Linked DNA regions of Mus musculus: all the other regions are reported to be linked to region 1. The links are microRNA targets in miRTarBase. Many come from high-throughput screens and were not tested one by one. Region 1 holds a microRNA gene; each other region holds the end of a gene's coding sequence.

What was found. Region 1 holds the annotated microRNA mmu-miR-9-5p (UCUUUGGUUAUCUAGCUGUAUGA, at 1,417-1,439, opposite strand). A microRNA usually pairs through its seed, bases 2 to 8, with sites in the 3' UTR of a target mRNA and lowers its output. Matches are read on the target gene's strand: a 7mer-m8 pairs with bases 2 to 8, a 7mer-A1 pairs with bases 2 to 7 and ends in A, and an 8mer does both.
Region 2: miRTarBase lists Camta1 as a target of mmu-miR-9-5p. Seed matches in the 3' UTR shown: 7mer-A1 at 2,921-2,927.
Region 3: the mRNA of Lfng is a reported target of mmu-miR-9-5p. The part of its 3' UTR that is shown has no 7-base or 8-base seed match.
Region 4: the mRNA of Neto2 is a reported target of mmu-miR-9-5p. Seed matches in the 3' UTR shown: 7mer-m8 at 2,393-2,399 and 7mer-m8 at 1,434-1,440.
Region 5: the mRNA of Syap1 is a reported target of mmu-miR-9-5p. Seed matches in the 3' UTR shown: 8mer at 707-714.
Region 6: the mRNA of Arhgdia is a reported target of mmu-miR-9-5p. Seed matches in the 3' UTR shown: 7mer-m8 at 1,045-1,051.

What each region holds. Positions count from the first base shown.
Region 1 is chr7:79,501,645-79,506,717 of GRCm38, reverse strand. It overlaps Mir9-3 (microRNA 9-3), which reads right to left and starts at 1,454; the gene lies at 1,365-1,454. The region is part of intron 1 of Mir9-3hg (Mir9-3 host gene); the gene reads right to left. Gm51285 (predicted gene, 51285) reads left to right here and starts at 1,382; the gene lies at 1,382-1,439.
Region 2 is chr4:151,058,037-151,063,109 of GRCm38, forward strand. Camta1 (calmodulin binding transcription activator 1) reads right to left here. Exons shown (of 24, transcript NM_001081557.3): 24 at 1,487-4,819. The coding sequence ends at 4,787. It overlaps Gm38529, which reads left to right. Exons shown (of 2, transcript XM_017320565.2): 2 at 1-1,020. Among named protein-coding and RNA genes, the nearest start is that of Vamp3, 2.6 kb to the left of the region's middle.
Region 3 is chr5:140,613,987-140,619,059 of GRCm38, forward strand. Lfng (LFNG O-fucosylpeptide 3-beta-N-acetylglucosaminyltransferase) reads left to right here. Exons shown (of 8, transcript NM_008494.3): 7 at 205-290; 8 at 421-1,559. The coding sequence ends at 487. Among named protein-coding and RNA genes, the nearest start is that of Lfng, 9.2 kb to the left of the region's middle.
Region 4 is chr8:85,636,476-85,641,548 of GRCm38, forward strand. It overlaps Neto2 (neuropilin (NRP) and tolloid (TLL)-like 2), which reads right to left. Exons shown (of 9, transcript NM_001357288.1): 9 at 243-4,641. The coding sequence ends at 4,061. Among named protein-coding and RNA genes, the nearest start is that of Mir8109, 62 kb to the right of the region's middle.
Region 5 is chrX:162,853,123-162,858,195 of GRCm38, reverse strand. Syap1 (synapse associated protein 1) reads left to right here. Exons shown (of 9, transcript NM_025932.2): 9 at 188-1,353. The coding sequence ends at 312. Among named protein-coding and RNA genes, the nearest start is that of Gm23901, 5.4 kb to the right of the region's middle.
Region 6 is chr11:120,575,123-120,580,195 of GRCm38, reverse strand. Arhgdia (Rho GDP dissociation inhibitor (GDI) alpha) reads left to right here. Exons shown (of 6, transcript NM_133796.8): 2 at 1-14; 3 at 146-229; 4 at 452-528; 5 at 617-680; 6 at 766-2,097. The coding sequence ends at 965. Among named protein-coding and RNA genes, the nearest start is that of Arhgdia, 4.0 kb to the left of the region's middle.

The sequences.
Region 1 (5,073 bases):
GACTTTGGATCCTTTCTTCCCTACACTTGATAGGGTCCATAGCTGGGTCTACATCCACCACGCGGGAGCCCTAATGGTTTCCTAAGTTGCAGGGGGCCCCAAACTTCAAGATAAGGAAAGAGTAAAGGGAGTGGCAGGAAGGAGAGGGACCTGAAGGCAGAGAAACCTCAAAGGGACCTTCCGCTCCTTGTGGGGCTAAGAACCACGGACACAGAACATTGGCACGCCCCACTCGCAGCGCCCAGCTAAGAGGGACCTGGAGCTTGAGTGGCCGGTGTGCAGCATTGGGTTGCCATGGGAACGGAATTCAGATTTTTTCCCCCAATTGCTTTTTTATTTGCTAGACATTGTAATACATCTTATGTTGCCATTTATTGGGGCGGGAAGGAGAGGAGCTCCAGAGAGCCTGGCTTCCCCCTTAACCAGTTGGGGAAGTTGGGGAGGCTCCGGCCCCAGCCGTCCGACCAGAACTATAGAGGTTTAGAGGATCTGGGCTACGTCTCTCCCGCCCAGCAGCCTGCTCTTGGTTTGTATGCAGGGCAGGGCCGGTCGGTCGGGGCGGGAGGCCCCCCGCCTAGGCCCCTTGCCATTGAGTACACTCCCCGCCAGTTCTGCTCCGCTTCACGCTGCACACAGACCCCCCAACTGCACACAAAGGCAGCTGCCAGAGCCGGTGAAAAGTGATCAAATTATCAAGAACTTGACCTCACCGAGGGGCGAAGCTCCAGCAACCCCCCAGCCGTATGCTAATGGTGCTCAGGGGCTGACTCGTCGAATAATTCGATAAAGGCTGCATTGTTAGCGGCAGGGCAGCCCCCTGCCCACCCTTTTACTCCCCCTACACACTGCCTACCGGTCTCTCTCTCTCTCTCCTCTCTCTCTCTCTCTCTCTCTCTCTCTCTCTCTCTCTCTCTCTCTCTCTCTCTCCCCCTTCCTCTCTCTCTCCCTTCCTCTCTCCCTTCCTCTCTCCGTTCTCTTTCTCATCGCATTTGCATCCCAAAATCCTAGTCTGCAGCTCAGGGCGTGGATTGTTCTAGCCTGATTTATGGGGTGAAGGCAAAGGCTGGCGCCTTCCCCGCCAGCGACCCCTCTGCAACCCCAGCCCGTTCCCTGCCCCCAACCCACTCCACTTCGGGGTTCCAGCCTCGGCGCTGGGAAATGGTGATGGGGGTGCAGGGACCGAGGAGGAGGTGAAGGGAATGCCTCCAGGACACGGCAAGTGTCCCCAGGAGAGCCGAGGTCGGATACCTGGTCCCGGCGTGGCCGCTCCGTCGAGCTGGAATCCCTGGGTGGCGTGGGCTTCTCTGGGCTCCTCTGGCTCCTGTGGCCAGGGCGGCCGGCCGGGCCATCGCACGCAGAAGTTGTGAGAGTCATTTCTACTTTCGGTTATCTAGCTTTATGACGGCTCTGTGGCACTCATACAGCTAGATAACCAAAGAGAGAAACGGGCCTCCCATTCGCCGGCACCGCTGCCGCGCTGTGGGCCCCACGTGCCGCCGCCGACCCGGCGCGGGGGCCTGAGCGGACTCCGCTCCCGCAGCCCCGGGCGCACGCGGAGAGCCAGAGGGGACCGACAGACACACAGACACACGGACTCCCGCCACCCGGATCGCCCAGCTCCCTTCCTCCCTCGCCCTCGCGATTTCTCCATCCCCAGTTCCCCGTCCAGTGCGTGCGCGGCCCGCTTCGACGCCGTCCCGGGGCGCACTCGGGTAACCGGCGCTCTGCGCTTGGGCAGCCTCGGGCGCCCTGGCGGCCCCCAGCGCACTGGACCATCAGCCCTCCTCTCGCAGGCTAATCGCCCCGCGGGGAAGTGACGTCAGTCGGGGGATCGGCCTATCACGGGCTTCCATTCAAATCCCAGCCCCCTTCCCGCGCTCGGCACCACCCAGCCTTACAATGGCCTCGGCGTTCACGGCTTCTGCGCCGCGAGGACAGGGGAGCGCCTCTTCTGCCCTCAGAAGCCTTAGGCCTGCTTGCTTGGATGCACACAGTCTGGCCTTTCTCTCAAACCTCTCTGACCTCCCAGCAACGTCTTAGGTGCCTGGCAGCCACCGCAGACCACCAGAGTTAGAGTTTGAGGGAAGAGGTTTAAGGTCGAGGTCTCTCCAAGGCAACCAAGTGAGCGCAGGAGAGGCTGCGAACCGGTCACTTTATCCTTAAGGTCTCTCTTCCTTTTTTTTCTTGCCCAGCACTGTACAGACACCGCGGTAGAGACTGGGGATTAAGGGAAGGAGTGGGTGTCTAGATCAATGTATCCCATATATATTGCCTGACTTGTAGGGATTCCCATGGCATGCTTCGCTCAAACCAGGTCCTAAATGTCGGCACCAGATTGTTAGCCCTTTCCCTCTGACCATTCCTAGTACAGCCAAGGATATGTAATCAATTGTGCCCCTGCGCCTTAAAGATATCCAAGGCCGTAATTGGGCTCCTATTCACCTCCCATAAAAATAATCAGCTCCTGCCATCTTTCTGCTCACAGCACACCCTAGCCCACTTACTCCAAGTGACTTTACAGGGCAAAAGAATTGACATTTTGAGGTTTCACAGTAGAATTGAGCCTGGCCACCAAACTGAAGTCCCGTCTCAGTCTCCTAAACGTGGTGGTTTAGAGGTTGCTCACCTGAAACCCATCCTGTCTTCCTTGCTCCTGTACACCCCTCCCACTATGAGCCCTGATTCACCCCCTTCACCCATTCCTGGGAGGCAAAGGATTAAATATGAAAAATTCGATATCTCCTTCCCCCCCCCCCAGTCATCCCTAGAAAGATCTTAAATCCAAGATCTAGAGATTGACTTAACAATAGAGTGGGGGTGGGGGGTAGCGGGTTCCAGGATTCCAGCAGTGACTATGAGGGAGTCCCAAAGACTCTCTGTGCTAAGGCATCCCCAAAGCAGCCCAGATTTGGTGGGGGTACTCATTCAGATCTGTTTTGGTGAGGCGGGGGGGGGGGCACCCCTTACACACTCTCCATCAGCAAATCCCATAAGGCTGGGTTCAAAGAATAGGCCCAAAGTGGGTGATTTGGAAGGGATCAGGGAATTTTTCTAAAGGTATCTAAAGCAGTCTCCCTTAAATGACACATCTGGATTTTTTTTGTTTAATACCAGGCTTTGGCACCACACCTCTGTACCCCGTGCTTGTTTTAGATTCGTCCTATTTTTTATCTTGACCCCAAATCCAAGGTGGGCTGCATCCCCACTGCCATCCCTGTCAGCCAGTGAGCAAGCCAGCTAGCAGTTACACACCTCTTTCCAAATGCCACCTCACAGACAAATCCTTGTCTCAGAAAAAGGACACAGGCTAGACTGAAAAGCATCAGAGAAACAGAGGGGCCGACCTACCGACAGCAAGGCCCAGGAAGGAACCTCGAATTTGGGCCTGCCTGGTTAATTCTAAAGGATTTTTCATAATTAGGAGGTGTCCCTTTCTTCTCCTCCTACAGCCTCTGGAATCTACACCCTCTTCCATTTAGCTGTGTGTCTGTCAGTGTGGGCGGCCTCCTGCGCTCTAGTCCTTCTGGGCCACCCTGAGCTTGGATGGGTGGAACTGAAGAGGCAGAGGGAACTGTGCAAGCACGATTCACCTGAAAGAGGGGGAGGGAGAAGAAAGAGGGGGAGTGGGGAGCAGGAGAGAGGGGAAAGAGAGAAGGAGCGTTCTCAGAGTGTGATTTAAGCAGGACGCTGCACAAAATGGCTCCTCGGCTGTGAGGTTCATGGTTATAGCACGCTGGAGCCCTGGCCTGAGAGCCTAGGGCTGGTTAGGAGTCTGGGAGAAAGACTAAAAAGCTTGATTTTGCTTTCTGTTCAGGTAAGGCAGGTTAGTGCCACCAAAGCCACATTTCTGTTGTCCTTTAGGAAACCATGTCCCTTGCCAAAGCAGGTGAGGCCAGCCAGGCAGAGGTTCCTACACCATGCTGGAGTGGGCTCTGTCTCCAGTGTCCGGGTGCATGAAGGTGTTATCAGCTCTCTCTCAGGAAGGAGGCCACAGTGAGTGTGGGCCTTGGGTCATCCATTGCTTGCCCTTTGGAGGATGTTCTGGTGGGACAGGGCAGTAGGTAGTCTCCTTGAGCTAGCAGCCACACCCATGTACAGGATGGGAAGCCTCCAGGTCAGACCCAGCAGGGACACATTGTTTGGGGCTGAGCCTACCCACGGAGGACCCAGCTGACTTTGGCTCTGATTGTCTTTTCATCTTCACACTGTACTCTGGGCCGGGTCTAAGTTCGCTACACTTCCTCCTATATCAATCTCTTGCCTCTAGCCTACTGTCCCTAAGTCCCAAGAAAGAGCTGGCAGTGGATCTAGAGCTAGAAAACCCATGGTTGCTGACAGGCCCTGGCCATGGTGCTGAGAACTGCCCACCCGGCATTTTTTTGTCTTCAGCAGTTCACCTAGCTCAGAAGTTCCTTGGTCTCCAAGTTGTGGTTTGAAACCTGAGTCCTAAGGGTGCCTACAGTAACTTAGAAAAGCAAGCATCCAGGGGGACGGCCAGCACTTAGACATCTCCACCAAAGGTTGGAGACTCCATTTTTCATACTCCTATTTTCATAAATCACCACAGAGGGACAAAAATCCTGCGCTGAGTTCCCATATCTGAATCTACAGAAACTATCCACATGTGCCCTAGAGCCCACTGAAACCTACCTTGCATTTTCTCCCACAGTCAGCTTATGAGGCCGCCCCCAAGGCTGGCATGTTACTTGTGCATGCAGATCTACATGCACAGTACAGGAGTGCTGTTGCGCCTGCTGGCAGGCATCCACTCCATGAACTCCACTTGCCTCGACTCCGTGCTTCTATTCCCTGTCGGTAGTTACTCCGCTTATGAGATAAGGGGTTCCGAGAAGGACAATTCACACCCTCACTCACAGTAGGGTGCAGATACCCTTGTCCTGCGACCAGGACCTTGCCCAGATCCTGAGGCTGGGAGCCTGGGGCTGGTGGAGCAAAGCAGATGCAGCCACTTGGCCTGCCATTCAGCCTGGCAGCAACGCTCCCTTTCATCCCCCTCTGGGCTGTAATTAGGACACAGAATCTCTAGCCACAGCCCAGGCTGATTCCAGGTGC
Region 2 (5,073 bases), not on the chromosome of region 1:
GGGATAGGAATCGAGCCGGGCGCAGCGCGGGCTGTCACCTCGGAGCAGAGCGGAGTGGGAGGGGCCAGAGCTTGCGCTGAAGTAGCGCCGGCGCTGACGAGTGGGCGGGCGTTCTCGGTGGACAAGTGGGCGGGGCTAGAGCGCGGCGCCTGCGCCTTTGGGCTGGGCTCTTCGCCGCCAAGGAATCACAGCAGCTCCCTGCAGTGTCTCTGCTGCCCTGTCTCTAGCCCTGGAAAGGCAGTTTAGAGTGAGAATGGGTACGTTTTACATTACTGTGAGCCCGCATACCTTGTCTCTCATGTTAGAAACAGCGGACGTGCCTAACGTTCCAGAATAATCTAGTGGTCCTGAGGAGACAAAGTTCTTTTCTGAGAAAGAGGCAGTAGGAAGTCCATGTGGAGTCTTGGCCACAGGATTTGGGAGAAGTCTCCTCTCAGGTTCTCACATGACAAATATTTGCCATTGCACGGATATTAAATCCCTAAAGGGAGCCTTGGCTTAGAGAACTGTAAGGTTCTTCATTTCTGTAATTCCCTGGCCCTTGCGGAGACGACACTCAATTTTTGTTCAACGGGGGTGAGTAGTTATGTGGAAAAGAATCCCAACAAGGTCTAAAACAGACTAAATAAACTCCGTTGGTGGATTCACTCAATGAAATACACTAAGGTATTTTTCCACTTCAGCATGGTAACTCCCAAAGGTGTGTGTTGCAATTAAAGAGCGCCACACCAGTGGGTACTAGGTTGAGTAGTAGTTATAAAAACCATTCTGGATAGGAGGAAATGGAGAGTGTGGGGCCGGGCTTAAACAGTGAACAGAAAATGCAGTGGGCTCCTGGTGGGAGGTTCAGAGTGTGAAACTGGCACTAGTTCTGAGGTAGATCAGAAGTGAAGTCCTACCAGAGAGATAACAGAACTCTACAGCCAAGAGGACTGGAACAGTGACGAAGAATACCTAGCAGGGAGGCCTTGTGAGGTAAGCTGGAAAGGGTCTTAAAAAAAAAAAAAACACACACAAAAACCACACACACACAACCCAGCCAACTACCTAGTAGAGCTAAAGAGTGTACTTAGTTGGCAGAGTGCTTGTCTAATATGCAGCCCTGGGTTTGATCCCCAGAACCACGTAGACCCAGGCTGTTAGCACACCCATAATCGCAACGAAAGCTTTTAGGTAAAAGGTTAAGAGGTTCAATGTCACCCTTAAGCTTAAGCGTTGGGAATTCATGGGTACTCTGAGCTACATGAGAAAGGTTAATTTAAAATTGAGATCCTTATCTTCCAAGTAACTGCATTTAAAATAAATCGATGTGTTAAGGAACCAGGCAAGGTAGGTAGAAAGGAAGTGCTTTGGGAAAGTGGCTCTAAGTGAAAGGCTGGGTGGGAGAACACTGCATGTGGAAAGTAAAATAATACTTCCAGTTCTAACTATGACCTCACTGTCAACACCTTGGATTTCAGATCAGGTTAAAGCAAAACACAGATAATATGGGGAAATTTTCTTCATTTTTAATTTACAGCAGAAAGAATATAAAGCATTCAGAAAACATTTTCCATATTTTTAAGGGCAATTCAAAACATTTTGCATGGTTTCCAGCAGCTGAGTTCTTCAACAGATCCATTGACTCAATGATGCTTTACATGCACAATTACAAAAATAAAACTTACAAAAAAGGAGACATCTAGACTAGTTTTACATGCAAGTCTCAGGGACCCCCCGTTGGGCGCCAACTACTGTGTGGAACTGCCATAAGCGACCGTGCAGCCAGAAAGGGGTTCATCTTAATGTCTTTATTTCATTCACACAGTACAGCTGATTTTGAATGGGTAACAAGGATAGCAATTAAATCTTCAGGAGACAGAATAAGATTAGCTATTAATTTTATCATGAAATCCTACTCCTGGCACTTGGGAATTCAGATTATCCAAGAAAGCTGCGCCTATCACCTTATATTCAAAATTAAGAGTTACAATCAAAAAAGGTGGTCATAAATGCTTTGTGTCAGTGGAAGTATGCTTCGACCTCACCTAGAATTCACAGTTGTACTGGTAGGTTTTGACCCTACTTCTATCTCCTCCATAAGAACTTCCTAATTCTATGTAAGTCTTTATCTTCCAGAGTTTTCTAACATATTCAGCTAATGTGGCATGTGAAACACTAAAAAATAAATGTGAGGGTTGAAGCAAATCCACTGAGGTCATTGCTCTGGTCAAATGATTGGTCATCTGAACCATAAGCAATGGAGTAAATGTATCCAGATCCATGATTGAGATAGGATATTCTGAAAAGAGCTGGCTTTACATTCTATTCCCTGTTATGAATACAATTGTTTATGTAAATTACTCAGTGTCCTCAGACAGGTCAAATTGTGTAAAATAATAGGTGTGGTGGGGGCGGGGGTAGGGGGGTCGAGGATTGCAACAGCTGCAACATAACCCACACATGTAAAAACAAAATTGGGTCGGGTCAGCTTACAAATGTACAGGTGGCTCCTAGCTGTGGGGCTGTCGCTGTTCCAAGCTGATCACAAGCAGAAAGACATGTACTGTACAGTAATTTGAGGTTGGCAGTGAAAGGAAGTAATTAAAAAACAAGTACAATTATAGAAAAGGCACCGAGAGCACTGACCCCAGTTTTTATTATTATTATTATTTTTAACCACAATCCTTTTGTTTCTACCTTCCTTCTGAAGACACCAGCTTAAAGCTCATTTGTGAATATTTTTAGGCTTCACAACAAGCCTCGAGTTTTAACTCACGGTTGGCAGCCAGAACCATGTTGGTTTGTTTTTTGTTTTTTGTTTTTTAAAAAAAGAAAATCTCATACCAACCAATTCTCACACTTAACCTGGGAGTTTTAAACTGGCATTAGCAAATGCAAAATTGGTTCTCTCATAAGTTAGCTTTGAAAGCATCAGATTTCTTTGGCTCCTCATTACCTGGAAAGTACTGTACCGTGGCACCCTTCCGTCAACACCAATCTCCACCGGGTTTCCCTTTTATTTTGTCGAGTGAGCAATTTTTATTCGTGGTTTTTGTTGTTGTTTGTTTTTTAATTTCCAGCAGGAGATATGAAAATGTGATATTTTTCTCATTTTGTCCTAATTTTTTTTCCTAAACATTGATCATCCTAATGTTCTTTGTTGGTGTGAGTGGATGGTGTTAAGGTCTCTAAGGATTCATCTTATGATTATCTATTTTGCAAAAGTAACTTAATTTTTTTAAGCAATATTAGCATTCACATTACTTGGCACCTTTGGCAAAAAAATTTTTTTTAAATAAAATAAAATAAACTCCTGATAGCCAAAATTAAATGTAAACATATCCTTTTTTTTTTTTTTTTAAAGTAATGCTACTCTGCCTCTTTTCCTAAGTCTAAATACAGTAGCTCCTTTTTATTTTTTGCAGGTCATGCTTTAGCAAAATGTTCTTCTACAGAACATTTAAAATAAAGTACTCTTATAGTGAAATAAAGTTTTTTTTGTTTCATTTTACAGACCATAGCCACTAATGCTTTGCTTTTGTTCTTTTTCTTGAATTCATGCACATCTTTGTTTTAATATATACAATATATACAAACAATACATCCACATTGTTCTCGCTCAGACAAAACTATACAAATAATTTCATCTTGCCATGTTATTGACCTCTGTGAATAAAATATTTAGCAATTAATATAACCCCTTTCAAATATTTTCTCGCTTTTTTTCTCCATTTCTACCTTTTGTATGTACACAGAAACCACTCTGTTTGGATGAGATAGAGCCAAAACATGGAATTTACTGGCCAGAATGCAGCACCACACTGGTCGTTTAGGTGGCAAATGTCCAGGCAAGGTTTATGATCTCTTGGAATTACTAAGGTTTCCAAGGTTACTAAAAAAGGCTACATGCGTTACCAAGTCTTAAGTAATCCTCACTGCAAGATAGTGGGGCAGACAAACTAAAGTGCTGACCATGAGAAGGGACAGGATGGCCACTATCCTTGCAGATTCCTGGGAGGTGGGGGGGGGGGCAAGAAAATGAATTTAAATCCCGTAAGCTGTTTCTCATTATTTCCCGTGCATTACCCGTTTACCACACACCCACCCCTCTGCAAATTTTCACAAGACATTAAAAACCTGCAGATTTTAAAAGTTGCATTAAGTGTGCTGTAGAGATTCAAACGAACGGACGGACAAACCGACAGACAGAAAGAAAGAAAAAAAAACGAAACAGAAACTCAAAAGAGAACAGTGAAGGAGATGAGGACAGGCGGACTCGCACAACTCGGGTGATCTAAGCCCTCCACTGAGAACCAAGGATTCAGCTTCTTGGAAGTCACCGCAGGTGCAGGCGCAGCGCTCCTCGTGTGGCTGACGTCGCCCCGCCTGTTCTTATCTATATTTTTGGTATAAATATTTGTACAGTTCCACACGATGTTTGAATACAGCCCTAATGACAAGGAAAGCGGCTTCCTCCTAAGATGAAGCCCTTCCAGTTCCTCCTGGTGTCTTGTTTTTCCTGTGATCCAACAGAAGATTTGAGTTCCAAGATGTCTTGCTGATCAAATTAAAAGTTGTCCATGAGAGTGCAAATGTAATGACCAAACATTCTCGTTAAAATCCTGCAGCTGACTCCCCAGAACTGCAGAGGGATTTTGTGTGTGTGTGTGTATATATGTGTGTGTGTGTGTGTGTGTATGTGTGCACGAGCGTGTGTGTTGTTGTTGCATGTCTCTGCTAAAAACAGAAATGGAAAGAGTCTGAGAAGCAATGTCACATTGCTAAGGGATGCTGCTGTATGTCTTCAAGTTCCTTGGCCTTTTTCAATTCTTTCACTCTGGAAGAGAAACAAAACACAACACCAGGTGATAACTACAGAGTGGAACTGTGACCAGATAAAAGGAGAGGGGCTATGGCCCCCGAAATGAGATGCCCAGACAAGCCCCTTCTGAAGACTGACACTTGTGAAATTGTTGGGGGAATATCCAAAGACGAAGATGTGACCCTGTGTAAAAACATGGAACGTTTCACCAGGGGTGCTCCAAGAAGAAAGCAAAGCTATTTGCTCTGTTGTTCTGACTCAAGGGTGGT
Region 3 (5,073 bases), not on the chromosome of region 1:
CAGAAAGTCAAATAGATTCTTCTAAGTTGCTGATCATGCCCTTTGAGGGGACACTCTTGCTCTGTCTCCCTTATGGTCGTAGGCCCCACCATGGGCTTCATCCCCAGGTGGGCCGAGCCAGTGTCCTTGGCTCAAGGGACAGCAGCAGGAATAGCCAGGCAGGACTGCCACCTCTCCAGCATCATCCTGTTGCTCCCAATGCAGGTGACCCTGAGCTATGGCATGTTTGAGAACAAGCGGAACGCAGTGCACATCAAGGGACCATTCTCTGTGGAAGCTGACCCATCCAGGTAAGAACTCGTAGAGGGTCACCAAGTACCCCCGGGGTTGGGGGGGTGGCAGGAACCCCATGGTTGGGACTGCCAGAGGGCCCATGGCACCCCCAGCCCACGCAGACCAGTCTTTACTCTGTCCCAACAGGTTCCGCTCTGTCCATTGCCACCTGTACCCAGACACACCCTGGTGTCCTCGCTCCGCCATCTTCTAGCAGTCGTGGTTGAAACTCTGTCCCTGGGCGCCCCTGGTATCCAAAGGGCCCAGGGACCTTTATTGTATGCCCTGGCCTTGGTGTCCGAGGCTCTTCAGGGCTATGTGTATGTGTGTGTATGTCTATATTTGTGTGTTTGTGTGGCGTGCCCACCCGTGTTGCAGACTGCTGGGCAGTCGTGTTCTTCAGGGAGTGGCAGGTCTGTCCCTAACTACACTCTGAGCACCACTCCGAGGGCAGTTGTGTGGGATCTGTGTTTGGATCTCTGCAGTGGGGGTGGGTGAGGCCTTGGGGCTCCACTCAGGGGTCCGTGGGTGCTGATTGTAGCAGTCTCTTATGTTGGGGTGCTAGCACCTATCTGGAGCCTTCCCTGTCAGCTGAGCTGTGCCCAGTCCTAGGGAAGCTGATTTGGGTAGTAAAGGCCTGGACCCCTTGTGAGCTCTGGCCCGGGCGCTGCCTGGTGCCATTCTGGTGAACAATGCTCCCCCACCCCCTGCCCTCCAGGGTGGAGGCGAAGTCTTCAGCCCCACCCTCTGATGCCCTATCTTTGTCTCCCACACCAAGTGGGGTTCAGAGCTATGAATTTTATCTCCTCTCCAAAGTAGAGAGAAAGTCGCCCATAGTGGGTGTGCCTGTACATATTGTGACAGTATTTTTTTACTGTGCTCTTTCTTGAAAGGGGAGGGGTGGGTGTGAAAGGAGGTGGGGGGTGGTTGTTTTCTGGGGTGGGCTGGAGAGGGTCTTATTTTATCTTTTCTGTGGATCAGAAAAAAGTGGAAGCCAGACAGGCTTGGTCTTTGGAAAGCTGGACAATGAGTGCCTTAGTACTGTATTTATGCCTTCCAGTATCTGGAATCCTGCTCCCCCCCAACCCTCCCCAGCACCCCAAGACTTACCTCACCCCCACCACCCCCAACTCCTCACTCCCCTACCCCTGGGCTGTATTCTGTGTTCTTTTTGCAAAGACCTTAACTAGGCAAGCTAATGATGATAAGGGAAAAGCTCTCAGGGAATTGATGTGTTGTTGCTATGGTGACGTCCTTCCTCTGAATAAAGGTGCTCTTTGCAGCAACCCAAGGGGCCCTAGTCTTGCTTGGGAGTTGGGGCTAAGCCACCTGTCCATCAAGGTAACTCGAGGGGACTTTCAGATGAGGGCAGGGGAGACCCAGTCATGACATAGAGAAGAAGGCAATTGGTAAGAATTCAGCAAGTTAGCCGGGCATGGTGGCGCACGCCTTTAATCCCAGCACTCGGGAGGCAGAGGCAGGGGGATTTCTGAGTTCGAGGCCAGCCTGGTCTACAGAGTGAGTTCCAGGACAGCCAGGACTATATAGAGAAACCCTGTCTCGAAAAACCAAAAAAAAAAAAAAAAAAAAAAAAAAAAAAAAAAAAAAAAAAAAAAAGAAGAAGAATTCAACAAGTTTACGACTTGGGAGGGAAACTAGTGTTAAAATAGATGAAGTATGGCCAGCTTGGTGTAGATGTGCCTCTGATGGGTTGATACCATGTTGGGAGGTGGGAATTGGACAGGGCTGATGGCGGTAGCTGCTTGATCAGGTCATGCCCTGTGTCAACCTCACTGTGTCCAGACCTTTCTGGAGGAGGTGCAGTGGCTAGTGGGGGCTGGCCAGAGACCCATTTTCCAGACAGGAAAACTGAGGCTCAAAGCAGGCTAAATGAGGATGACCAAAGTCAGGCAGCCAGGCTGCTGAGGTGGATGACCCCCACCCCCCCTAGATCTTCGTTCCCTGTCAACTCTGCTGACACTGCCTGGCCTCTCATCTGTCATGAGATACACCTGTCATGTATCCTCTGAGGATGGGCAGTACCCAGGCTGCTCACTCGTGGGTAGAGCTGGCGAGGACTCGGATCTTTCTGAGGCTCTTCAGGGACCTTCCTCAAATCCAGCCACAGAGGCTGGCTGATCGGGGGATCCTCACCACACTCCTTCCCTGTGGTCTCCTTGTTTCCGCTCCTTTACAGAGAAGCAGGCTAGTGCTGCCCACCTGCTGCCCTTCTGTAGGTGGCTGCCTGCTCTGACCTGACCCCGGACTCACGGGGCTAGGTCCTCATTACCTGCCACCCCTGTGTCCTTTGCCTTCTTCCCCACACCATTTGATTAGAGATCTGTCCTGCACTCCACCAGACATTGCTCACAGCTGTGGGTTCAGCACCCCCAAGTGGGCTGGGCATGGCCCTTGCTGGTAACTGCTCTTGCCTTGTGGGGTGACTGGCCAGAGCCTGACCCCACCTTGGCTTTGTAGTTTGGCTTTTTAAGGCCTGAGGCAGCTGCCTGGGATTTTCAGAGTAGGGGATCCCCAGTGGTGGCCGTGGTCCTTGGCATACAGGGCCTGGTGGCGGTGGCTTGGGGCCCTACTTCTAGATGAGGAAGCTGACATTTGTAAGGGTGGAAAGGTCACGGTGGAGCAGTCTGCACACGGGCCATGAGCCTCCTTCCTGCCTGGATGAGTCAGAGGCCTGCTACCCTCTGCTCTGGTCGTCAAAAGCCCCTTGCAGCTGGCACAGAGCTGGCAGCCACAGAGGTGTGGTACAGCGGCACCAACCTCGCCGCCGGCATGGAGCTGGGGGCCCCAGCCAGGGTGAGCTTCCCATTCTGATTGGAGCCAGAGGGTGGTCCTGAGCCTGGAGGGCAGAACCTCAGCACGGAGCAGGAGGGGAACCCAGTGAGGTGGCATAGGTCTCTAACCTAGTATTATTCATGAGGCTGTTGAGGTAGGAGGATTGTGAGGGTCGTGAGATCAGAGCCAGCATGGGTTACCAAGTGAGGTCAAAAAAATCATCTAAGAAACAGAAGCCAAGTAGGGAGGGCCCAGGAAGGGTCTAGCCAGTGGCTTCAACAACTCCCAGGTAGAGCAGGCGGAAGAGTTTCTCCTGAGGAGGGAAGCAAGCTGACTGACTGACTGACTGACTGACTGACTGACTGACTGATTGATTAATTGATTTTTTTTCAAGACAGAATTTCTCTGTGTAGGCCTGCCTGGCTGTCCTGGTTGATCTGGAACTCAGATTCACCTGCCTCTGCCTCCCAAGTGCCGGGATTAAAGGCGTGCGCCACCAATGACTGGCTGCCTGGCCGCCTCAGTGAGGGTCTTAGCGAGGAGCCCTCCTCTCTGGTCAGTTACTCAGTCAGGTATCCTGTCCTGGGGCTTCCAAAAGTTTATAAAACGCCAGGTACACTGATGCCTCGTGCCTGTAAATCTCAGGGATGGGGAGGCAGAGGCAGGAGGATCGCCAAGAGTTCAAGGCCAGCCTAGGCTACCTACTGAATGATGCTCCTCCCCTCCCAGCTCTCAATAAAAGTAACACTGCACACCACGCAAGCTCTAGGGTGTCAGGGAGGGTGCAGAAGCAGGAAGGCACCCAGCTTCCTCTCTCGAGATGAGCTGGGTCTGGGAGAGGGTGGCAGGGTAGGGTTGAAGCTTTCAACTTCCCTCTCTGAACTTCCCTCCCCTCTGGGGTCAGCAGGGCTGACTTCCTGGAAGAGGTGCCTCACTGCTGGAGCCGGAAGGCCAAAACCACAGCGTGTGAGCAGAAGTCAGCATGTGTTTGTGGGTGTTCAAGCTTGGCACAGCCCAGACAAATGCACCCCAGGGTGGGGTTTGGAGGGACCTGGTGAGGAGAAGGCTGGGAAGGGCAGTGAGCAAAGCCATTTCGTCTCTCCCTGAGGCTGGACCTCTGATGGTAGAAGTCAGAGCCCGCTGGGTGGCTTCAGCCTCTGTTCTGGGCCTCATGAGGTCTCAAGAGGAAGCAGAAGGCCCTGGGCAGACAGCAATTTGTCAGACCCATTGGCCTAGCCTGTGGCACATTCTCCTAGGGCCACCTGACCCCAGCCTTGACCTCTCCCCCACCAAAACAACAAAAAAAATTTATCTTTTCCTATTCATGCTCGGCATTTAATGTTTTTAAATTTTTTTTTTTAAGTTGGGGCTGGAGAGATGGTTCCATGATTGTTGCTCTTGCACAGCAAGGACCCAGGTTCGATTCCCAGCACCCACAGGGCTGCCCATAACTGTCTCCAATCCTAGGGGATGTAACACCATCCTCTGGCCTCTACAGACACCAAGCGTGAATGGTGTACATACAGACAAACGCCTATGCATGTAACTTATAAAAAAAGGTTAAAAATATTGGGGGTTGGCATTTGTAAACATTTTTTAAAAAGATATATAAGTACACTGTACCTGACTTCAGACACACCAGAAGAGGGCGTCAGATCTCATTACAGGTGGTTGTGAGCCACCATGTGGTTGCTGGGAGTTAAACTCAGGACCTCTGGAAGAGCAGTCAGTGCTCTTAACCTCTGAGCCATCTCTCCAACCTTGAGAAATGGTTTTTGTGTGTCATGTGCAAGTTAGGTCACTAGACTTAACAATACGTACCTTAGCCATCTGCGTCATCTCAGTGGTCTTTTGGCAATTTTTTTTTATTGGTGTATTTCCACTGTACACAGTAATTTCATTAAGATAGCTCCATTTGTCACATGCTTTGACCTATTCATCCCCTCTACCTCTGTCCCCTCTAGGATAGTCGTCTTTCTGAGATAGCCCACGTGTACTTTCATATCA
Region 4 (5,073 bases), not on the chromosome of region 1:
ACCCATCTCGTCAGCTAACCATCCTATAACGTTTTTATTTTAAAAGTCCATCTTCTGTTAATTTAAAAGTAAAATATGCTTTTTAAGTATAATAATCATCCACAGTTGCTTTAACAAATAAACCCTGACTATTTTATTTGGAATGCAGCAAATAGGAATTCGTACTGTTTTAGGAAGGGCCTATAAATGTCCAAAGTAGCTAAATGTTCTACTTTTACACGCTTCAGAATTGAGGCAAGGAAGAAAATCAAAAGAGGAATTTTTATTTGCATTTCAAGGGTTAAGTACTTTAAAGTGCCAAATCTGGATTAAGCAATGAGAATTCTTACATGATCTGGAAGTTTGTCTCTAATAGAAATCTACTCCTTAAAAAAACAAGTTTAGGTAGTACTCACTATACGTGCACCCTCATCATTAGCTTGGAGGCTTTTTGAGCCAGTAAACCAATCTCAGAAATATAGTCAAAAGTATCTTAAAAAGCCGAGTGAAGAAGAACATACTACTAGGAAAGATACATAACAGGTAACAGATGGTGTAGGAAGCTAAAAGGATATCCCAGGTCAGCTTGTTCTCTTACAGTGGTTCAGACTCAAATAATTCTCAAAACTCAAGATACAGTACCCAATATTTAATTTCTATAATGTACATTGTTAATTTTAACTAAAAAAATTACAAACGTGAAAGCACAGAGCTTTCTTTCTGGCATCAGCCTATGTGCTGCTAACCAGCACTGTTTACTAAGAATTCACAGTAATTACATATTCTGCAGGTGCCAAGGAAGTCTGGTAACAAAACTGATGGGATAACAGTGTTATATAAATTAAAAAGGGAGGGTGAAACCCCCTTTGTATACAAAATTACAGCATTACATTTTAAGTAAGCATAACTAACAAGTTTTGCATGGAACATCTAGGCTGATGTTTGGAATTATGTGACTTTTAAAAGCTAAGCAGGGAGAGAAGAAGCCAAGGAAGGTTACTGGGCTAGGAGGATGGAGCCATGGGGAGCTACTTCACCATCAGGGTTTTGTCTTCTCATTGACAAAACTAGACTAGATCATCTCTCTTGGATCTTTAAACAGAACAAAATAAAGTTCCTTCTGTCCACAATCAATGTGATTCAGGCACATTTCTCTTAACACTTGTAGTAAATAAAAGTGGGCATATGGCAGACATCATTTTGCAACAAAGTGTAATCTCTGAATGTTAATTATTCCTGGAACTACAAGCAGCCTTTTCTCATCTTAGCTGATATGTTCCTGACCCAAGCAAGTACCATCATTAGGTAGTATCCAAAGTATAGAAATGTTCAGTGCAGACTGCAGTTCCTTAATGCTTAGCAATGATACAAAACGCATGTAGGAGAGTGACAAAGACTCTCCTAAAGCAAAGCTAAGGGAGCCTTTCAGATCCATGATGTGAAATGTAAACATCCTTTGGTTTTTGTTCAATATTTATATTGATAACTCTCTTCTGCAAACAAATAACAGTTTATTCCCATGTCTTTGAGACAGTGGGATGTGTAGGTTGCAGTCTGTGGCTACTTGGGAGCTGACAGCTTGTAGTGAACTTGGGATGAACGACAGCAATGTGTTGGTATCATATAGTTTGTACTTAGTACTTTCTTGCACTGGAGATTTTTACTATCCTCTGGCTTTGCATTTTTCACTGAAGGGTGTGTTTAACACAGGTACTTTGTAGGGTATAATAACTCACATAAGACAGCTTAACTTCATATTTGTTACTGCTTAAGTTTATGGCTTTCACTTTAGCCTCTGAATATAAGTGTTTTCTACTGTGAAAAGGATCAACTTTCTAGTTAGAGAATTTAGAACCAAATGATCACCCGAGTTTCTCTTGCTGATGCATGAGATCATGCAAATTTACATGGTTGGAATGTTCAGTATTTTGTACAAACAACTGTTTTGTAAATCCCTTCAAATTCCTTTAAAATAGAATAGTGTTAAAAATAAAAATACACCTACAAGTGATCATGATGTATGAAGGCATACTATAAACTATAATCTTAAAATTAATGATGAATATGACAACTATTTTTATAGTGGATATAATTTATAAAATTGTTAATTTTTATTTCACTATGGTATCATAGCTATCAATTTAAGTATTTACTATGGTGTTGGAGTGGTGGCTGGTCTAAGTCACATAATAAAATGCTTATAGTTACTGAAAGAACATTTAATTTTTCTCTGGATAGTTCAGTGATTACTATGTTTTGAGATTCCTTTTACTTTTCCAAGTTCTATTTTACAAAGCAGGAACATCTACTGACTTAAAAAATTAAGTCATGCTTATGCCAAGGGTAAGTTTTCCCAATATTCTTGATATAATTTCCTTTTTAAAAATAAAAAAAATGTCATACAGAAAACACACTTTGGTCAGAAAGTACATCACACTAAAGGTCAAAGTTTTTAGTAATCTGAGAAATCAGATTTATGTAGTACTTAAAAAAATAAATGAAATCTAGTGAAACCTCAACTTTTCATTCATTGGAAATTTAGTTCAATATAGAAAATGAGAATTTACTTCTTTAAAATGGCATTATCTCTATTGGTTATCATTAAATATATGAATTCTTCCTCATCTATATCTTATTCAAAGGATTCCTGCTATAAATAATATAATTGAAGGATCATGAATTAATGTATACTCTAATATAAGATTTCTGTTGTGATTTAGAACAATAAATACCACACAGTGAAAAACTTATTACCAACTAACACAGCAGCAAAAGAAAGAAAAATGTATGTACATATCACCATGAGCAAGGTCTTTATAATAAATTACAGTACAGTCCCATCACAGTATTCTTCTATATAAAGTCACTACTGTGAAGACTTAAAGAAATTGTCTTGTATGTCTTAAATCTTGATCTAATAAAGTTTATACAATATCAAATAATATCAAAAGTCTAAAAAAACACAATGAGTTTTGATACCGTGTTTATAAATTATTGTTTTATATACTTTAAAAAACATAAGGTTAAAAGTGCAGCTTAAAAAAAAAGTTGAAATTGCTCTTCTCGATAATGGGTAGAAAAATGCACTGTTTCAAGCAGAAGCTATGTAAAGGCTAACACAGTTTCTCTGAGAATTTCTTTAAGCTTCCACCAACCATGGCCATGTCCAAGACAAACCAATACCAAGAGAACAAAGAAATCGTTTTGAAAGATGATAGGGAATAAGATCTGAGAAGCTCTGCATGGAGCCATAATTAAAGGTCTGCTCACAGGTGAGTTCTAGGACCCTGATTACTGTCACTGAATTGAGACCCAGTGGGGAAAACTTCAGAGGTTGCTACAAGTTTTTAATCTTTCTCAAAATTCTGTTCATGTGTATCTGGTAATAATATACCCTAGGATTCTTACTTTTTTAGTATAACTAAGATGAAACATGATTAAAGGTGATAAGTCCTACTTCCCATAGAAAAGCAGAACTAAAGATGCAGTTATTAAAGACAACAGTGTAGAAATCAGTCAGGAAGAAATGAAATATGACTGCATCTTAAACTGCCACTTATTACAGTACTAGCCGTATTACACTCATTTAGGAGCAAATGCATGGCCATGCTGAATTGAGTGACATATTATCCCCGTCTGCAGGAAACTGAAATGGTAAAACCACAGGCAAAGAAAACATAACAGAAAAAAGAAGGACAAAAGGAATATAAAGAAAAAACTTTTAAATTTACTGTGAGATCAAGTTGATGGGGCTGTGCAGACACGCACAGTGCCTGGTGTTCACAGCACCGGGCTGCTCTGCCTGACTTAACATGCATGACCTGCTCCTCAGCTGCTATTGCACTGGTGGTGTTTTACAGGTTAAGATACCAGCAACAGATGATGCCTTCTTTCCACTGAATACATTTAAGTTTCTTAGTTGGTTTCACATATATAGATTGCCTGAGATAATAAAATCATCAGCATTATGATAAGTTATGAAGGGCTTTCTAAATTTGATAGAACAAGATTGGATGCGGAGATAGAATGAGTGTTGGTGTAGGCTGCATACACACTTAACAATAATGCCTTTAGTCAGCAATTAAAAGTCGATGGATATGGATGCTTGTGCAGAATCGTCTCGCCCTCTGACATAAATTTCACAGGGAATCTCCTCCATCACTCTGTCCTCTAGAGCCTGTTCAGGGCACTCATGAGCTTGTTTGAAAGTGTAGCTGCTTTTTTTGAAGGTGCTATTAAATGTTTTCATTGGCTGTGGTTGTGCAAAATCATTTCGGAAGGGAAGTTCCATGGAACTGAGGTTGGTCCTGCTTTGTTTCACACTGGATGCTTGTGATCCACAGTGGTGGTCGTGAATGCACCGGGAGGCCGTGGAGGAGCGCCGCAACTTCTGGTAGTTGTCAAGTTCTTCTGACAAATCTGCCAGATCTGCAGAAATCTCTTTCTCTCTTAGTGAAAATAGTTCATAATGAGGAGGATCAAATACTTCCTGGAACCCAGTTTTATTAAATGCAGTTTTGCAAGCCATAACCTTTTTCCGGGGCTGTTTCACTTGTACTAAAATAGAAATAATGAGAAGGACCAAGACAATTCCTGATGTAATGCCAATAATTGTCCCATGAGTTTTAGTGATTTGTTCAAATAGTCCAGCTTTTTTCTTTTCTGTAAGAAAGAAATGTTGAGGTTTTTTTTTTTTTTTTTTTTTTTTTTCCCCAAAATTCACTTATAGGAGTTCCAATATAGATTGGCTAGTTATTTTTAGACGAAATAGGAGATTTGGGTCAAATATACCAGACCCTAAAAACCTGGTTTTTAAACAAATAGAAAATATTATTCCCATGATTTCTGAGTCAAGTAACAAATAATGATATAGCTAGCTAGGGCAAAGAAAAACTAAAGTACTTGGTTCCCTTACACAAAAGGTTCACAAGGGCCTACAATTTGCAAATTACACTAATATGGAAAATTTAAAAAACAAATACTCTTGACCTATTAAGTTTCTGCCATAAGGCAGATTCAACAAACTACTGTGTTGATTCATATCTGTGGAATCAGATTAACAATCCAGATGTACCACCATGGTCTACTGTTTTG
Region 5 (5,073 bases), not on the chromosome of region 1:
ACTAGCTATGTCTGCTACTACAAAAAGGGCTAGGCCTTTGAACCAGGTCCTCTAGAAGAGCAGTCAGCACTCATAACCACCGAGCCATCTCTCCAGCCCCAGGCTAGGCCTTTGTTAGGTACCTACAAATTGAGTGAATTGTAGTTCAATGAGCACCTTTTTTTGTCTCTCCCTTTGTTTCCTATAGAAGATTCTACTGATTGGGAAAAGGAGCTACAACAGGAGCTTCAGGAATATGAAGTGGTAGCAGAGTCTGAGAAGCGAGATGAAAACTGGGATAAAGAAATTGAGAAGATGCTTCAGGAGAGTTAATAATTGTCTCCGCAAACCAGTTCTTAACATTGTGTGACATGAAATTCTCATGATCGCTGAGTCAGAAGGCACAAAAAAAGGGTGTAACTTTATGCAATTTGAAATGATTCTTTTTCTAGCTAAAACTTGCCTCTTAAATGAACAGCTATTGTAATAATCAGAAACAACAGGATATTGTATGTAACATTTCATACATATAAAATTAGCATTCTTATAAGCAGCAGAACTATCTGTGCCACAGAAACACAGGTAAATACTAGAGTCTTTTTTCTAGAAGGTTGGCAACATAATTTATTCTTTAGTTATGTTTTTCTATATATGCCTTTTTGTTGATAAATGGTTAAAGTACTTACTATCAGAAAGTAATATCTTACTATCAAAATGACCAAATTATACCAAAGAAATCAAAAGAAAGCACTTTCAAAATATTTTCTTGCCGGATATTTTCTAAAATTCTATCTGAAAGACAAAAGCTGAGATATTTCTGTTCACTTGAATGACATAAATATCACCCAGTTTGACATGCTGAAACACTTTCTGTGCAGGACTAGGGAGGGATGTGGTGAACACTTGTTGTTCACAGTGCTCCAGGTTCCATTTCCACTATCTCAGCTAAAAGTGCAAGCCAGATTTGTTTAAATAAAGTTGAACTTCTCCCTAGAGCCTTCTCATTTTGCTTTGTTAAGTATACCACAAATTCAACGTTGTGCTTTTTGTAGGAACTGAGGTCTTCAGTCCTTTTTGTATTAATAACTGTCAAGAAGCCTGTTTACCGTAAGGTTTGTTCTCCTGGTAATAGTCACTATGTATAAATGTCTTAAATAATTATCCTTTATAGAATGGTCTTCCTTGATCTAGAACCTACTAATTAATACTTCTTGTATTCTGCTATGCCATCAGGCAACTGTTCATAGAATGTGATGATTTTAAAAGAGCAAGGTGATTTAATGTTAGAAAACTAACTACCATTCACCTTTCAAGTTTTCACAGCACTTTTATTTCATAAGGGAAATAAAATCAAGACATTTCTTTATAAGAGAATTGTACGTATTTATATTCTTGTACTCGTAAAATTCGTCTCCGGGTCTTCTGGCATAGGTAATCAGTGAGAGAACTGGGTGTGGATGTAAACATCACTTTCATGTTCATTGTTTGAGATATGTACTGGTAAACTGAACCAGACTGCCTCACTTCATGTTACTTCATTTTAGCAGTGAACAGGAGGATTTTCTGAGGCCATTAACCCAATATGAAAGGATTCCCACTTACAACATCAGAAACCACCCTACTAAAGTAAAAACTGCTCCATTGGCTTTGGTTTGGAGACAGGGTCTTCTGTGATCCTGGCTGGCCTCATGGCCTATGACCTCAAACCTAGTTCTCCTGTCTCTGCTTCTGCCTTGAGTGATATCTTGTTGATTTTTTTTATTTTAGAGTTTTTTGTTTTTATTTTTTTTTTCGAGACAGGGTTTCTCTATGTAGCCCTAGCTGTCCTGGAACTCAGGCTGGCCTTGAAGTCAGAAATCTGCCTGCCTCTGCCTCCCAAGCGCTGGGATTAAAGGCGTGTGCGCCATCACTGCCCAGCTATCTCCCACTTTTAGCATTCCTCAGTATTTGGAAGGTAGAAACGGAAAATTCAGGTTCAGGATAACCATAACTTCATAGTGATTCAAGGCCAGCCTAGGCTACATTAAACCCTAACTCAGATTCAAAACAGAAGCAAATGGAAATTCCCTCACAAAGTGGGAAATCTCAGTTAAACTTCCAAGAAGTTGAACTTAAGAAGATGTTGGCTCATTGGATAAAAAGCACTTGACACACAAGCCTGAGGCTATCATCAAATCCCACGGTGGAAAGAGAGAACCAACTCCCAAAAGTTGTTCTTTGACCGCCACCTTCTCACCATGGTGCACATGTCCATACACAAACAGACACACACACACATATATACACATACACACGCATATGTGTGCAGGTACCCACGGAGGGCAAAAGAGGACATCAGATTGCCTGGAGCTGGAGAGATGGCTCAGTGGTTAAGAACACTGACTGCTCTTCCAGAGGTCCTGAGTTCAATTCCCAGCAACCACATGGTGGCTCACAACCATCTGTAATGGGACCCAATGCCCTCTTCTGGTATGTCTGAAGACAGCTACAGTGTACTCACATACATAAAATAAATAAAATCTTTAGCTGGGCAGTGGTGGCGCATGCCTTTAATATCAGCACTTTGGAGGCAGAGCCAGGCAGATCTCCGAGTTCCAGGCCAGCCTGGTCTACAGAGTGAGTTCCAAGACTGCTTGGACTACACAGAGAAACCCTGTCTTGAAAAAAAGAAAAGAAAAAAAAAACATGGAAGGATGGAGTCACCAACCAAAAAAGAAAAATAAATAAAATGGTTTTTTTCCTTTCTATTTAAAAAACAAACAAACACAGCCAGCTACAGAAGGCAAGATTTTCTGTGCTTCTGAAGCCTAGAAAGGCTCAGGAGTTCTGGAGGCACACTGCCTCTGTCCCTACACTTCCATAGCTATGTGATGTCAGAGTAGGCTGACTCTGCTGCAATCCAGAGGGAAGCCAAGGCTGAGGCCAGAGCTAAGAGTTGAAACGGCTCCAGTGGGGCTGGGAATTCCAGGGATGACAATGGTTACAGGATCTCTTGTTTTCAAAACTTTGTATGAAGCCAGACGTGGTGGTGTACGCCTTTAATCCCAGCACTTGGGAGGCAGAGGCAGGTGGATTTCTGACATGTGCACCATGGCCAGCCTAGTCTACAAAGTGAGTCCCAGGACAGCCAGGGCTATATAGAGAAACCCTGTCTCAAAAAAAAAAAAAAAAAACTTTGTATGACTTGACTTCTTTTTTTTTGTTTGTTTGTTTGGTTGGTTTTTTGAGACAGGATTTCTCTGTATAGCCCTGGCTGTCCTGGAACTCACTTTGTAGTTCAGGCTAGCCTGGAACTCAGAAATCTGCCTGCCTCTGCCTCTGCCTCCCGAGTACTGGGATTAAAGGCGTGTGCCACCATGCCCTGCATGACTTGATTTCTAAAACTACGGGTATCATTTTGTTTGTTTGTTTGTTTTTTAAAGAAATCAGTTTTTTCCCTTTTAGACAGGATTTAACTCTTTAGCCCAAATTAGCCTAAACTGCAGTTTTATGTATTTTGCCTGTGTGTATATCTGTACCATATGTGTGCCTTGTGTACAAGAAAGCCAGAAGAGGGCATTGAGTTCTCTGGGACTGGAGTTAAAGATGGTTATGAGCTACCATGTGGGTGCTGGGAACTGAACCTCAGTCCTCTAAACGTTTAAGTATTCTTAACTACTGAGCCACCTCTACTTTTGACAAAGGTAGGAGTGGAGAAAAAAAAAAAACCAAGAGGTCTAGGTGAGGTGACAAATGCTTTTAAGTAACTTAGCACTTAGTGTAGTGATTTGAATAAAAATGGCCCACATAGGCTTATAGGGAATGGCATTAGGAGATGTGGTCTTGTTAGAGGAAATGTGTCACTAGGGGTGAGCTTTGAGGTTTCAGATGCTTAATCCAGTTCCATTGTCACTGTCTTCCTGCTGCCTGCAGATCCACATGTAGAACTCTCAGCCACTTCTCCAGCACCACATCTGCCTACTGCCATGCTTCCCACCGTGATGATGATGGACTAAACCTGAACTATAAGCCAGACCCAATTAAATTGTTTCCCTTTATAAAAGGTGCTGTGATCATGGTGCCTCTGTGCAGCAATAGAAACCTTAACTAAGGTAGCTCAGGTGGAAGGAAAGCAACCTGCCTTACACAGTGAAACACTGTTAAAAAATAAATAGGTTGCCAGGGAGGAGGCTGGAGATGTAGCTCAGTTTGTAAAGTGCTTGCCTGGCAAGTGTGAAGTCTAGGTTTGATACCCAGCATCACAGAAGCAGGGTGTGGTAGCATATGCCTGTAATCCCAGCAAGAAGATCAGAAGTTCAAGATGGTTTTTGACTACTTAGCAAATTGTATTCTAATCTGGGCCACAGGAGAGCCTGTTCAAATGTATTTTTTCAAATTAAAGATTCCCAAGCACTCACAAAGGCAGAAGCAGGCAGATCTCTGTGAGTTCCGGGCCAGCGGGTATGCAGCGGGTTAAAGGACAGCCAGAGCTACATAGACACCCTTACTCAAAAAAAAGTAGAAAAAGGAAATCAAAATTTAAAAACCTATCCATTAAACAAATAAAAGAAGGGCATGTCTGAGAGATATAGTTTAGTTACAAACATGAGGACCTGGACTTAATCCCCAGAACCCACCATTAAAAAAAAAAAAGAAAGAAAGAAAGAAAAAACTCAGCATGAACCAGGTATGGTGGAGCACGCCTTTAATCCTAGCACTCAGAAGGCAGAGGCAGGTGGATCTCTGAGTTTGAGATCAACCTGGACTACTTAGTGAGTTCCAGACGAGCCAGGGCTACATAGTAAGGCCTAGTCTCAAAACAGCAGTGCCCCACCCAACAACACTGAAAACTAAAAAAGTTAGGCATGATGGCACACTCTTTAATGTTACTGCTGTAGACATGGAGACAGGAGGATCCTTAGGGCTCACTGACCCACAGCCTCGCCTCCTTGCCAGCTCCAAGTACAGGAGAGAATGTGTCTCAGATAACAAAGTGAATGACTGTTGCCTGGGGAATGACATTTGAGGTTGAATTCCAGACTCAACATGAATGTACACCTCCCCCTCCCTGCACACACACACACAAATTAAAAAAACTAATTGTGGGCTGGTGAG
Region 6 (5,073 bases), not on the chromosome of region 1:
AGCTGTCTCTGCAGGTAGGTGGCTTGGAGGAAGGATGTCATCTAAACCTGTGCCCAGTCTCTTTCCAGACCACTCTTCCAAGGAGTGAGTTTAAAAAGAAAAATCTTAAGGGATGGGACTCTGACTCTTAACTCTCACTCTGCAGACCCCAACGTCCCCAATGTCATTGTGACTCGACTGACCTTGGTATGCAGCACTGCCCCAGGCCCTCTGGAACTGGACCTGACAGGTGAGTGGGTATTAGAATCCCTGGGTGGGGCCAGCTGGCATCTTGCCTCTACCCCTAAAAATAATTTTCTGCACTGATGCCCTCTGGTGGAGAAGAGGGGAAGTGCAGCTAGGGGCTTGCCGAAGCTCTGCTTTGTGTCAGGGAAGGGGCTGGGGAGAGTGAATGTAGCAGGGTGGAGAGCCCTTCAAGCAAGCAGTCAGCGGAGACTCCTCCTCAATACAGGTGATCTGGAGAGCTTCAAGAAACAGTCGTTTGTCTTGAAGGAAGGTGTGGAGTACCGGATAAAAATCTCTTTCCGGGTAAGGTGGGGGCTTTGAGAGGCCTGGAAACAAGGGGCAGAGGGGCAAGCCTGGGAAGGCAGCTGACCCTGGCTCTGTGTCCCCACAGGTGAACAGAGAGATCGTGTCCGGCATGAAGTACATCCAACACACATACAGGAAAGGGGTCAAAAGTGAGTGGGCGGGCCATAGAGTGGGGAGCCATTGGGCCTGGGAGGGGCGTGCAGCACCAGTAATCCTGCCTCTCCTGTCCCTCAGTTGACAAGACTGACTACATGGTCGGGAGCTATGGGCCGAGGGCCGAGGAGTATGAGTTCCTGACACCCATGGAGGAGGCTCCCAAAGGCATGCTTGCTCGGGGCAGTTACAACATCAAGTCGCGCTTCACAGATGACGACAAGACTGACCACCTGTCCTGGGAGTGGAATCTCACCATCAAAAAGGAGTGGAAGGACTGAGCTCCAGCTGGGAGACGGGCAGGGCGACGGACAGACAGAAGGACCGACATGCCCCACCCTAACCCCCTACCTACCCCAAACCAAAGTGCTGACAGGACCTCCCTCACCCGTCATTCCTCCCTAGTCCACTCAGGCAGTCAGCTCTCCTGTCTGCCCCTCCTCCACCTCCTGCCCGCAGGCCCCTGTGGTCTCCAGTGTCACATTGCTGCTTCTGCCTGTGCAGTGGGGGAGGGGTTCCAGCCCAGGCCTCCAATCTGCTGTGTCCCTCCAGGTTCCCTCTGTCTTCCCTTCCTCAGGCCCTGGCTTCTAGAATGGAACAGAACACTGTCAGGGTTGTCCAGCCCACCTTGTCTCTGTCGCAGCATGGGGAAGGGCTGGGCTATCTGTCCTCTAGTCCCACCACTCCCTGGCCAGGTCATCCATCACTGTCAGTCACTGTCTAACCATGATGCCTTAACATGTGGAACGTGTGCTGGGGGCCGTCGCTAACTCTTAACTCCCTGTCTGCATGAGCATGTGCTCTCCCTGTCCTCGCCTCGTCTGCCATCCCCATCCCAGTGACCCACCCAAGGGAGGCCTGGGGTGCGCTGCTGTTGCTTCCTGCGAGCCTGGCCAGCTCTTCCCCTCCCCGTGGCCAGGGTTGGGGGTGGCTCCAGTAGCTAGGGGAGGGTCAATTGCCAAAACTCGATGCCTCCAGCCCCATCTAGGAGGCAGGGTAGGGTGCCTCATTCCTCTGCCTTCTCTGTCCCTTGTAGGCAGTACTCGGAGCCCCTGTCCCCACAGAGAGCCCCTGAGGGACAAAGCCAGCCGAGCCTTACTTGTCTCACCTGGGCCACGTGGCCTGAACCTCGTGCCTGGCCTGTCAGTATTTATTGCCTCCATTTGGGCCAGCTGGCCTGATGCCTCTGCCCTGGTTCTTGGTGCCACCATCCCTGGGCCGACCCTCCCTGGACCCAGCCAGGACAAATGTGGGACCAAGTTCACACAGTTGGGAGCTGTCTCCTGTGCCTCCCCTCCCTATCCCCAGTCCCTGTGTGGTGTCTGCCAGGCCCAGCCTCAACAGGCAGAGGAGCCTGTCCCTGCTTCTCTTCTGACTGGGAAATAAACACCCCTGAAGGAGTCTGGGATTGTGTGGTCTGTGCAGCTTGTGTTGGGGTTTTGTAGGGAATGGTAAGAATCCAGTGGAGGGTGGATGTCCCTCAGATCAGATGTCCTGGCTACAAGGTTGTCTGCTGCTAACAGCCCTGTTTTGTCTTTGCTCCTGGCTTCCTGTGGAGATGTGAATATAGAACAAACCCCAGGCCCATGGGTCACAGTGCTGGCCCTGGGCATAGAGGGATTGCCTGAGTCAGCATATCTAAATTTCCCCTGGCTGGGACTTGCCCTCAGTATGGAGCCCTGCTGGAAGATCAAACTGATCTGGCTCTGAACAACTTGCATGTGTAGGTCGACCTGGTGAGAGAGTTCCCTATGCCTGTTAGTGAGGCTAGTTGGAACAGGAAACCGAGCCTCTGCACATCTCCAGTACTGTGCTCTCTAGAGCACCCACGAACCTAGGGAGAAAGGGCAGGACCACTGAACCATGAAGCTTGTAGCAGAACCCTGAAAAGCCACTAAGCCTTAACAGGGCTCTTGTGTAGCTCTCTGTAGTGACCACAGGGAGGCAGGATTACTTGTCTGTCTTCAGCACAACCAAAGGTACCTAGTAACCTCAAAACCCCATCCTGCCTTTACAGGAGTCAGTCTAAAAACTTCCCTTTTCAGCCTTATGCTAGCTTTGGAAAACCACCCTCTGATGAAGCTGTTCAGGAAAGTGGGTGTACCAGTTGTGTAGCGAGTAGTAATCGGCTACTTTGCTGGAGCCCTGCCAATCTTGCCTTGGGGTCCACCAGTGGTGAATAGTGTGATGAACCTTTATTGCAGGGGGCCAAAAGATACCTTTTTGTCTTGTTGCTGACAGCTGACCATAAATTGGGCCATGTCCGCCATTTTTACTAGATCCATCGGAGCCAAAGACTGGCGGACCCCAGAACCAACCTTCTGTGGGACACTAACCTGATAATAGCAGCTCCTTGTACTAGGCAGCCAAATTGTTGATCCAATCCTTACCCAGAACTCTTCCTGGCCCCAGCAGTCGGGGCCTGAGCAGGGTGAAGCCTTTTCTCCAAACTGCAGAGCCAACCAGTCTCCTAGCTCATCCTTAAAGTGTTTATTAGATGCTCTCAGCGATGCTGTTTATCAAATAAGGGCTTCTGAAGCTCTCTTTGGACCAAGATACTTAATCTTACAGCTCTGAGTTTGTCCTAGGCAGCTAAGTGTGTGAACTCAGACCCTAAGTTCCAAGTGTACAAGCCTACTGCCAACAGCTAGGACTTTGCTCTGGCTCCTCCCAGTGCAGGTTAACTCAGAGTGGCCTCAAAGTGCATGATGTGTTTCCTAGGTCCCAAGTCTAACCAGATCCTCCCAATCTCACGCCCCCTAACCTGCCTCTGTGGAGAGCTGTTGCAAGGCCCTCAGGAGCCAGGCATTCTCCACAGCAGCTCCTCTCTGACTAGGACTCCCAGGAATTGCCTAGCTTCTTGGCTCTTCAGACACCTATAGACAGGCCTCCTCTCCTGAGGAAAGTGATGGGCTGTAGGTAGTACCAGTTGATGAGCAGTCAGCTTCCATGCTGTGTAAACATCTGCTATTGTGATTTACAAGACCCTTCTCTGCCCAGCACAATCCTGTACCAACCAAAGCTACCATCCCCATAGCCGTGGACACCATTCTGCTTCCCGCTTGGCTGTCATCAGCTCTTTCAGTTCACCCTCCAGGTCAATCAGTCTTGGAGTCAATCTGCTGTCCACCCTACTGGACACCCTGCCAGGTGTGTCCCTCCAAAAGGGAGTTGCTTGGTTCTGAGAACTCTTAGGAATAGTCAAAACCTCCAATAACTCAACCTATAGTTGATGAGCATCTTCTCTGAGTAAGACTCCTGCCTGAAGGATATTTCAATGCATTTCCAATGGCCCAGAAAATGTGTAATACTCAGTGTGGGTCTTACAGGACCTTGATACTAGGTTGTCCAAACTAACACCTCTTTTCAGCAATGGCAGCTGCTCTTAGAAGAAGTAAGAGAGGCCTTGGGAAACAGAACTAAGTCATCAGCTGGGCCCTCAAGGGCTTGTAGATGTTCAGGTGATCTGACCTGCATTCTCAGGTTGGGACATACTACCCTTATATTACTACCCATATATTATCTGGCCACTCAACAAACCCAGAGGGCCCAAGAATTTTAGGCCTCTCTCTGACTTCTTTCCAGTGGTTGATTGCCTGGTAGAAGCCAGTGCAGAGATAGCAGACTTTTTTTTTTTTTTTTAAGATTTTTTTATTTATTTTTGTTTTTTCAAGACAGGGTTTCTCTGTATAGCTCTGGCTGTCCTGGAACTCACTTTGTAGACCAGGCAGGCCTCGAACTCAGAAATCCACCTGCCTCTGCCTCCCAAGTGCTGAGCCACCACGCATGGCTTAAGATTTATTTTATTTATGAGTACACTGTAGTAGTCTTCAGACACACCAGAAGAAGGCACTGAATTCCATTTCAGATGGTTGTGAAACACCATGTGGCTGCTGGGAATTGAACTCAGAACCTCTGGAAGAGCAGTCAGTGCTCTTAACCACTGAGTCATCTCTCCAGCCCTGATAGTAGACATTTGAAGACATTCTTTAGTCTAAGATCCTGTGATCATCAGGAGAGTGTCACAGCTGCCCCTCTGTTCCTACAACGTCAGCAGCCCTACTCTGTTATGTGGATATGGCAGCTGCCTGCATTGAGAGCTTTATCCATTCTGTGTCTGACACAGAGCCCAGAGGCAAACTGAGACTCAGCCCTGGTCCTGAAGGCAAGTTGTCTTTAAACTATCACACTCAACTCCCTCCCCTGCCCTGTTCTTTTCCCTTCCATAGACAAAACATCCCACGCCTAGCATTTAATTACCAAAATCCTGAAACTTTTTTTTTTTTTTTTTTTTTTTTTTTTGAGACAAGGTCTCAAGTAGCCCATGTTGTCCTTCAGCTCCTGGTATATTTTACTATACCTGTAATTCCAGTCATTTAGGAGGCAGAG